Linked DNA regions of Drosophila melanogaster. The protein of the gene in region 1 interacts with the protein of each later gene in a pairwise test. Each region holds a gene or a part of one and is shown on either strand. Other genes may lie near its edges. The genes, in order: Acp65Aa, CG9825 and CG42853.

Evidence for each region.
Region 2: the proteins of Acp65Aa (region 1) and CG9825 interact in a two-hybrid assay, tested with the Drosophila melanogaster proteins (one large-scale study listed by BioGRID).
Region 3: the proteins of Acp65Aa (region 1) and CG42853 interact in a two-hybrid assay, tested with the Drosophila melanogaster proteins (one large-scale study listed by BioGRID).

What each region holds. Positions count from the first base shown.
Region 1 is NT_037436.4:6,151,410-6,154,765, forward strand, and holds Acp65Aa (adult cuticle protein 65Aa), read right to left. Parts: upstream 1,337-3,356; 5' UTR 1,271-1,336; coding exon 1,259-1,270; intron 1,178-1,258; coding exon 872-1,177; 3' UTR 641-871; downstream 1-640. Other genes in the region: Lcp65Aa, read left to right, coding at 1-232.
Region 2 is NT_033778.4:22,835,439-22,839,198, forward strand, and holds the start of CG9825 (uncharacterized protein), read left to right. Parts: upstream 1-1,922; 5' UTR 1,923-1,997; coding exon 1,998-2,019; intron 2,020-2,283; coding exon 2,284-2,420; intron 2,421-2,477; coding exon 2,478-3,551; intron 3,552-3,618; coding exon 3,619-3,760. Other genes in the region: CG12490 (uncharacterized protein), read left to right, coding at 1-821, 903-1,109.
Region 3 is NT_037436.4:18,120,298-18,123,613, reverse strand, and holds CG42853 (uncharacterized protein), read left to right. Parts: upstream 1-1,624; 5' UTR 1,625-1,686; coding exon 1,687-2,179; intron 2,180-2,236; coding exon 2,237-2,598; 3' UTR 2,599-2,682; downstream 2,683-3,316. Other genes in the region: CG7341 (uncharacterized protein), read right to left, coding at 2,724-3,316.

The DNA.
Region 1 (3,356 bases):
TGACCTGGTGTCCGATGTCAATGCCGATAGCTATAGCTACAAATTTGAGACAAGCGATGGCACCAAGCAGGAGCAGCACGGCTCCCTGAAGAGCCTTGGTCCCGAGGAGGATGCCTTGCAGGTGGCCGGATCCTTCAGCTTCGTAGGAGACGACGGACAGACGCATGCCATCAGCTACGTGGCCGATGAGAACGGATTCCAACCCCAGGGCGAGGATATTCCCCACCTATAAATCGGTGTATGATGGTAATTAAAAAGGTCTTCTAGTTGAAAACTAGAAATCAATTGGAAAAACAAGTCATTAAATCGAAATAGGCTCAGAAACCATAATACTGAATAACCTTTTATCGTAGCTCAGTTTAAATAAAGAATAAAACCAATTGTTATGTTCCTTAAAAATATTTTTAAGATTAGTACCTTCGTAAATTTTTTAGATGGAACATCTTGTATATTGATCATTTTGAATCAAAAGAAATAAAAGTGTGAATTTTCATAGCTAAATACGATAAAATAGAAAATAACTCTGGTACTTCGTTATAATTATAAAGGAAAGTTATCTAGTGCAGTTTCATATTTTGAATGACCCTTCCCAGAACTGGTGACTTACTTTATGGGTTCCACAAAGAAAACATATTTTTTTCGAGAATCGAAAGTTCGGCTTTAATGCGAGTAACAAGGAAAATAGAAAACAATGCACGACACTGACTTGACTGACTGATCGACTTACTAACTGACTGACCGATTGGCTGCCACGGGACAAGGGACAGCTCCTCCGGACAGGACCTTAGCACCTCACTGTATGGCTGGTTGGTTGGAATTGTGGGTTCATTCGGGAAGGTGGTATTTACAGGATCTCCTCGAAAGCGGAGGTCTACTTGGGCAGATGGGCACCCTCCGGCTGAAAACCGTTCTCGTCGGCCACAAAGTTAATGGTGTAGGTTTGGCCATCGGGAGCCACCCAGGTGACGGATCCCCGAATGGATATGGATTCGTTGTCGGTGCCCGCGTTGTTGACCACGCCCTCCTCTGTTCGACTGGTGCCATCGCTCAGTTTGTAGCTGAACTTGTAGCCGCCGAGGCCGGTGTTCTCCGATTCGTACTCAAGAACTTCCACATCATTTTGCGGCCGGGCACTGGCCAGGGCCAGGAGAAGGGCTATCGAGCCAACGACTAGCATCTGCAAGGCGGTAAGAGATTAGGTATCCTTTTGCGTATCCTGGTTGGGCATGGTGCGCCTCGTTTATCCAAGTTCACCTACCAATTTCATCATGTTGAGCGGTTCTCGAAATTGCAGATTCTCCTATGCGGCTGGACAAACTGGCAGTTGTCTAATGGTGGCGTTGCATCGGCGTCCACTGCATTTTATACTGCACTCGCGGCTGCATTTGCAAACGTCATAAATTTGCACAATTGTGGAAGAAGCCAAGCAGCTCGCTAGTTCAGCAGCTCTGGCGGTCGCCGGCTAAATGTTTTCCACTATTTCCATTTTGTTTTTGTTTTTTTTGTGCTGTTTTTCAATTGCCAGCGTTGCACCAAAGTCGCCAAAGTCGCTGCGACAAGTAACATTTAAAGCGGCTTTGTGCAGCGGTGTACTCATCCGAAAGGTATTATTGCTCTTCACCCACACTCGAAAAAGCATTCTAAGTTTCAGGGCGATTCTGTGAGAATAGTTATCCACAATCAATATGTCTTCATATTTTTAACAAGAAACCAAACATAAAAATAAGCATGTTAAAACTAATGTAGTTAGAACATAAAAAATATTTATTTAAACCTATAACACTTAATCATTCGAATATCTTTCGTTTTACACCCACACTAAAACCACCTTTCGAAGTTTTAGTGCAACTCATTAAGTACTTAAATCTTAATTGAAATAAACAAAACAATTACTTGAATATAATACCACATTTAAGATGTACTGACATTTTCTGTCAGTGCCGACTGGTAGCTTTAGAAAACTCGAAAAAGTTCATGAATCAAGCAGATGCATTGGGGAAAAGGTTGCGGTTTGATTGGGCAGCTACGGGGAAATACCGGGCCAAGAACTATGGGAAACAATAACCAGAACAGCTCGTCAGATGGGCCCAGATCGAACCGAAATCGACGACATATTGGTGGCCCAAAAGAGACTAAGTTCAAGTGCTGTCGCCGCCAATTGGCAGGGCAGCAAGTTCAAGCCGCGGACACGAAGAACACGAGCTGAGCCATGTGTGATGGCCAAAGTGCACGATGGATGAGGCTGTGGATGGAGATGGAACCGCAGGTTGACTTTTGGCATATGCAACGGCCTTTACAGCGCTCGATTGATGTGCCTGCCCGGTAACAAGAGCCAAAAGCAGTTGGAAATATATATAAAAAATACATCGAATAACCTACAACTACGGCTCGCATGCAATTTAAATCTCTGACTCTTGCTTTTTGTTGTACTTTTAGCATTTTTTTTTTAATTTAGTTTTTAAGTCGCCGTCGCCGGTGCTTGCCAATTTATGCCACCTTCGTTGACCGCTAGCAGGCCGATGAAGAAGCCCCAGCAGCGGATCTTTCAAGCCGGTCAGTCGGGTTTTAACTTTGGTTATCGGTCGGCCTCTGGTCAACCACGGTTCTGCCCCAGCCTCCTCCTCCACTTGAATTGAATTGTGCCAATTGTGACTTAATGTCTGACCCATCGACAGGGTGTTGTGCACTGATACTGGCATTTCCTCAAATGTCGTTGAAAATCACATCATTTTGGTTGATTTTTTGGCAGCTGCAATTTGGCATTTTGCCATTCTTAACTTGCTCGTTAAAAATCATGGAATTGGTGACATCCGAGGAATGTTATCAATCAAATAATATTGTCCATATAACATGTAAAGAACGCATCAAATAAGCAAAGCGTCTTTGCAATCAAAAGCAAAAGCAGACTCAACAAATTTCTGTTGTCATTGTTTATTCAGCAAAATTGCATTACATTAATACAGTGTGAAAATTACTTATTGTTAGTCAAATGTGTAACTATAATTTTCTGATTAGACCGCAAATGGAAAAGTTGTTAATATGTTAATTGAACGAGAAAGACAAGTATATTAAAGAAGAGAAAAAACGATGGGTTTTTGCATGATTGAAATCTTTACAAATAAAATGTCACATGAAACATCAAACTTAAGCGCTTAAGTTTAATACTAAGCAAGTTCATATACAATGTGGTTTCCATGAAATTTCAGCCTGATTTATTTACCCAGTCCGCCTACAAATTGAACTTGAGGGCATTCGGGGCCCTTGAAAATGGATCTGATTCGTGGCTGCATAATATTTATTATTTGGGTCTTTTCCGCAGCTTTTCGAGGGCATCTGCATCGAGCTGCATTTATCAT
Region 2 (3,760 bases), on another chromosome or scaffold:
ATCACCATTTGGCCAAATGGTCACCTCCGGCGGAACGAAATCGGTTGGGAGCTCTTAGTCACACTGGGATGGAGTGCGGCAATGTAAGTGCCATGTTCTTGAGCGGAATGATAGCCAAAAGTGCCATTGGTTGGCCAGGAATATCATATGTCTCCGCAGGATTAGCCTTCGCCTGGTGTGCCATTTGGTTCGTTTTTGCCGCTGACAATGCAGTGGAATCTCGTTACATAACCCAGGAAGAACTCCACTATATCGAATCGTCTCTGAAGCACAATGAGGACTATCACAAGACCGTAATTCCCGTACCATGGATGGCGATTTGGACCTCGGCACCATTTCTTGCTCTTACGCTGACGCGTTGTTGCGCGACCTGGGGTCTGAGCACCCTCCAGGCCCAAATCCCAACTTATATGAACGGAGTTCTGGATATGGACATGAAAAGCAATGCATTCTTTTCGGCATTACCATTTCTGGCCATGTGGATTATGTCGTATGTGTACCTGATAATCGCCGATGTTCTGCTCGCCGGAAACAGGCTGAGTTTAACGGCCCTCCGGAAGACCTTCAACTCGTTGGCCTTCTGGATTCCTTGTGCCACTTTGATTGGAATCGGATTCCTGGATCAGGAGCAGAAGAACCTGGCAATTGCTTTGATGACCATCAGTGTCGGTGTCAACAGTGGAGCAACAATCGGAAGCTCCTTGAACACCATAGATCTATCCCCGAATCATGCGAGTATTCTAATGGGAATCTTGAATACGGCTGTTACTGTAGTGCCTATAGTAACCCCTTTGATTGTTGGAGTTATTGTTCATGAAGACGTAAGTTTGCACTGTTAGTGTTTATAAACAGGGCAGTGATAAATAAGTATAAATAAGAAGACTTTCTGTTGATTGTTTCAGGATAACCGTGCTGAGTGGCAGATAGTGTTCATAATTGCGGCAGTACTTTTTTTTGTCGGAAACTCGGTGTACCTATACTTTGGAACGGCTGTTTCACAACCCTGGGATGCTGAAGACTACCTCACAGTAAAGGTGCCAGAGCTAGCTAAAGTTCCAGCTATCCATGAAGCTGGTAAAGGTATTGATGACCTTCCACGAAGTCCTTGAATTGAAGTTCTATCGATAGCACTTAAGTCTTCAGTTAACATAGAAACTATTTAAAACAACAAAGCAATCAAAATAATTTAGAGTATTATTATTAAATTTAATAAGATTTAAGATCTACATCAGTACATTTCATTTGTTTATTAAACGTATAAGTAAAACGATTTGTTTGAATTAAAATGTTTGAGCGTTATTTGCTTATCAAAAGTCGTCAAATTTACCAAAGGTGCGGCCATAAATCAATCCAATAATGGTATGGCAGTAACTACTCTTGATATTACCAATTGATTTTGGAACGCCACACGACCAGGCAATGCTGTTCTAAACAACCTCGTTTAACAGTAGAAAAGGAACTGCAGGTAGGATATTTTCGTCAAGATATCTAAAATTAACTATTAAAGGTGCAAAACCTTGGCTTCTTTCTTGACTAAGTAACCTGAAGGCCGAAATGCCCACCTATTCGAAAAAGGGTTCTCGATATGGCCATGAAAAAGCAATGCATTCTTTTTGGCGCTAACATTTTAGGCCATGTTGCTTATGTGGCATCTATCTTTTACCGAATCGTGCCAGAATCCTTACTAGAATTGTAGAAATGGATGAAAATAATGATTTATTGATTGATTTACAATATTCTGACTAATGACATAATAACTAGTTTGTAAAGTACAACAATTTTTTAATGACGCTTTTTAATTCAATGGTTAAATTCGCCCGCTGTATGACCTTATCACCTGACGTGTCGTATCAGATAAGCAACATTTGGCTTATCGTCTAATTCAATTTGGATTTAAATCCACTCTATGTTCGTGGTCTCACTCACTTAACTTCCCACAGTGATTCCGATCGGTCGTTTAAAAGAAGTCAGGAGGTGTTTTGTTGACCAAATCAAAAATGACGGCCGAGACAAACAAAGGTGCGTGAAAGGAAATCCTTCGGTTCGGATAAGAGTTTGTGAATGAATTGACACCCAACGAACTTGACACAGTGGAAAACCCCTTCATGGCTCAGACCTTGCACTCCGTCTGATTTCTGGGCTTTTCGCACACGCATTGAGTGGTCATAAATTACTACAATAATGGCGCGATAACCGAGTCTCAAGAGCAATTCAGACTTATTTACCCAACTGTTTGTAGACAGGAAGTAACAGTGATAATACCAGTTCGTTTTGTTATTGCAGGACCCGTTCTGGGAATGAGGCATGTCCAGGCGCTACTGATCTTCCTCAATATAACTACCGTATTCATAGGCCGCCTAAATGTGGGCGTGTCTGTGGTGGCAATGACCAATGCGGAAACCACGAACCCGAACTTTCCGGTAAGAATAGGGATCCTATCAAGAAAATACCACTTAGCTTACTAGATTCTCTACTAGGAATACGATTGGACGGAGGCAGAGAAGTCGTACATTCTCTCCAGTTTCTTTTGGGGCTACATCCTAACGCAATTCCTTGGAGGTTATCTCTGCAAGCGCTTTGGAGTCAAGAGTGTAATGTTTTGGGGTGTCTTCGGATCTGGTGTCTGCAGTGCTTTGACGCCGCTGTTCATCGGATTTGGAGAATGGCAGGCCTACTGTGGAATTCGAGTTCTAATGGGATTGGCCCAGGGAGTGGTATTCCCCTGCATTCATCAGCACCTGGCTAAATGGTCACCGCCCGAGGAAAGAAATCGGTTGGGAGCTCTGAGTCACACTGGAATCGAGTGCGGCAATGTGAGTGCCATGTTCCTGAGCGGAATGATAGCCAAGAGCTCCCTGGGATGGCCCGGAATCTCATATGTCTCGGCTGGAGTGGCCTTCTTCTGGTGTACATTATGGTTCGTCTTCGCTGCCAACCATCCTACGGAATCTCGTTTCATAGGAGAGAACGAACTGATCTATATTGAGTCGTCTCTAAAGCACAATGAGTCATACCACGCTACCATTATACCCATTCCCTGGAAGGCAATTTGGACGTCGGCACCATTCCTGGCCCTGCTCATAGTACGATGCGCTGAGAACTGGGGACTGAGCACTCTGCAGGCCGAGATCCCATCCTATATGAACGGAGTCCTCGACATGGACATGAAGAGCAATGCGTTCTTCTCGGCACTCCCATTCTTGGCCATGTGGTGCATGTCGTATATTTACCTAGTCGTAGCCGATGTGCTCTTGGGCAAGAACTCGGTGTCCTTGACGATTTTGAGAAAGACCTACAACTCCATTGCCTTCTGGATTCCTGCTGCCACTTTGGTGGGCATTGGCTTTTTGGACAAGGAACAAAAGAACTTCGCGATTGCTCTGATGACCATCAGTGTGGGCGTGAATAGTGCTCAAACCATTGGCAGTGTTTTAAACACAATTGATCTATCGAAAAATCACGCTAGCATTCTAATGGGAATTGTGAATACAGCGGCGAATTTCGTGCCCATAGTCACTCCTTTAGTTGTTGGATGGATTGTTAAGGAAAATGTGAGTGCTTGCAAAAGTTGGTAGGAAGTAAAGATTTTTAATTGCTTATTGTATCCTTTCCTTTCAGTCTGATCGCTCCCAATGGCAGATCGTGTTCATCATTGCCTCCGTAATCTTCTTTGTGGGCAATTGCATTTACTTGGTGTTTGGCACGGCCGAAACTCAGCCCTGGGATGCCGAGGACTATCTGCAGACACAGAACCCGGAAC
Region 3 (3,316 bases), about 12 Mb from region 1:
TTATGTGTATTTGTTTTAATTTACATTCAAAATGAACGATAAGATTTTCTGGCCAATTTTCTGCCTTGTCCTCTGCATCTTGATGCATTGACAACTTGTCAAACATTCTAATATCCTGTACAGCTTGTGATGTGAGCATTATGGGGGAATTTGGTTTAATTAAACTGCATTCATACATGTGCAAATACATCGATTTTGCTGTTTGCATATTAATTCCAGTAATTCTAAATGAAGACGGCAGAAATTACGAGGATTTCTCAAGTAATCTCAAATGGGTGATGAACAAATGTCTATTACAAATGGGAATAGTTGGACTGTTAAACAGGATTAATATATTGGAAATATTTGTTTTACGACAAACTGAAAGGTTTTCATTTTATATTCATCATATTTTGTTGAATCTACTATTTTCTTTTAAAGTTTTTTATATATAACATATACTACTGTTATTAAGTGGACCCTTTAGCAATTGCGAGCGATCAAAAGCTTTTGAACGATTGATTTAAATTATTCCGATTTTAGTATTCTTTTCTCTACCCTCCCCAAAAGTCATTTATTTTCTGAATCTTGAGGGTGGAAAGTTAAACCACTCGATGTCATTTTGACGCCAGTGACTTTTTCCCGTATTTGCCCAAAATATTAGCGTAATGCCTTTGACAAATCAATTGGCAAGCGATTGACTTGGCAGACAGAAGGCTGAGTGTCATTAACCACACCCTCAATGGGCGTTGGTCACACCTCGTGCCAAAATTATTTGCCCAGGATGCTCCAAGAATTGGAATAAAAGACCTTGTTGACGGTGCGGATCAAACGCGAACGAAGCTGTGACAAAGAGATCTTGAAAAGCGTTCTGTTTGACTTAACAATCGTTCAAGTAAGGGATCAAGTAGAAAATATACGACCAGTAATTCTTAATTTTCAAAAACATAAATTGCCTATGGTTAGAGAAATAGGTACAAAAGCAGAAGCTAAAATGAATTTATTATCACCGATTACAGAAATAGAATATGAAGTTAAATATCTTGCGATAGAAAGGATAGCTCAAACTCAATCAAATTATGTATCTGCGAAAACCCATTTACAACCCCAAGCAAAGACAAAGCAATTTATGAATAATTTGCATAATTCATGTAAAAGGATATTTTTAAACAGATGACACGAATTGGCAACAGGTGCTTTTGGCGGTTAAATGTTGGGATCTTTCTTGTATCGGTGGTACTTGACATGCATCTCGTATTATATAGCATATAGATGTATATAAATATATATATTTATATACGAGCTCCTCAACTGGCAGCTACTCAGTTAGTGGTGGTAATTTCAATAATTTCCACATTATAATTTAATAATGTGTGGATGTGAAACAAGCTGCATGCTTAATTTAAACTTTTCAGCTTTAATAGTTCACAGACTCTCGACGTTTATACGGACGGACAGACTGACACAGCCATAAGTATATATTGTACATACATATAGACTAGCCCATCAATCCTGATCAAGAATATAAAGAATCCATCTGAAAGGTAAACCTTTCAACAAATCTAGTACTCTACGCGTGATGGGTATAGAAAACAAATATAATCTAGTATTCGAATAGTTTACTGTCGTTGCAATCGTATCCAAGTTTTTGTAATTTGTATATCTTCTCAGTACTAAAGGTCTTAAAAACTCAAAAAAAAAAAAAATATGGCCACAAGCGCGAACTCTGTTCAAGTTTCTGGAGCCGGTGCGGAGGTAAACGAAGCTAAACTCATCTGCATCTGGGAGGGAATAACTGAGCTGATCCTGTGGCGCAACTGGATAAAGTCGATGCTTGTATTCGTAATGCTACAGACCATAATTTATGATCTGCTTTCTGAACCGCTTGTGTTCGTGGTGAGCGTATGGGCTTTGATTATCATGGTCATATCAATGGGGTACCGTTTTTTGGTACAGTACACTAATACCCATATCCAGAACAACAGCTATCCGAAATATCTTGACATAGACCTAAGAATCTCCCAGGAGTTATCTAAGCAACTGGGTGTTCTAGTTTCAACCAAAGTTGTTGCGTTTCTAAATAATCTACGAGAGATATTACTAGTAAAGAGCTTTTCGAAATCATTCAAGTGGTTTGGCCTTCTCCTAATAATTAGCAAACTTGGAAAGCAGATTAACTTTCTAATTGTTGGCCAATTAGGTAAGTCTATCATTAATAAATAATGAAAGAAAATAACAAAATTCATTCAAATATCAGGGCTGTTTCTACTCTTCACAATTCCCAAAATGTGTGAGATGAATAGACGTTCATCAAATATTGTACAACTTCCTAAATTTAATAAACAATATCAAATTACCAAAGTAAACGCTTCGACCGAAACCCAGAATGCATTGGACATGGAATCCTTAAAAGAGTGCAACGAGGACACCATAAAGCTAATTGAAAAGCAACCAGAAGGGATGGATCTCTCACTCGGCTGTGATATTACCAAGGAATCCCAGAATGCGGCTGATGATCTTAAAGCCTTTAAAGTAAAGGAGGAAATAGACATTGATGCTTTTGAGCGACTTGCCGATTCCTGGTCCGACGAAGATACACTTACTGATCAAAAAAATTAATTCAAGACAATTCAAATAATTTATTTTTATATATTGTGAAGCGTTTGGATAAATAAAACTCCTAGGGGCACTGTGCGGAACAACAGCTACACGACTTGCTTATTCTAATAGGGAGATACTTTAACCTAATTCGAACTACTGCTTTCGTCGCCATCGTTCACAAATTCAAAGGCCCTTCTGGACCGGAAAGCGTGATAGGGTCCTTGCTTCGGCTGTCCTGCTTGAAATTCACTCCTAATCCTTGAGACCACTGCACCACTCTGCGGTGAATAGTTTGCCTTGAAGATCTTTAGGAATGACGGAATGGGAGGCACAATGCCATCCGTATGAAACTGAACAATCCCCTGGATGTGTTGAGGTCGCAAGAGGCTGCATAGCTGCCGAAGATGCATCCTGGTCGGAGTCGGTGTCCACTTTAGTTCCTTTAGATCCAAGGAAACTACCTTTTGATAGTGATTAAAGTCCGTCGGGCAACCGCTGACGAAAACCCTTGGTACATAATTTTCCTCCAGAAAACGCTCCAGATCGATGCTAAGGCACTCATAGCTTTTTGCAATGTGGTCGCCCAAATGAATATGCCCGCGAAGACTTGTGTGTGCCAATCTCCATAACATTTCCTCGTAGCCAAATTTTGGCACTTTCAGGTGCACCATACTCTGGTCATTTCTTGCTCCGAGATCCTCGATGAAATGTGCCATCTCATCAAAATCAATATGAT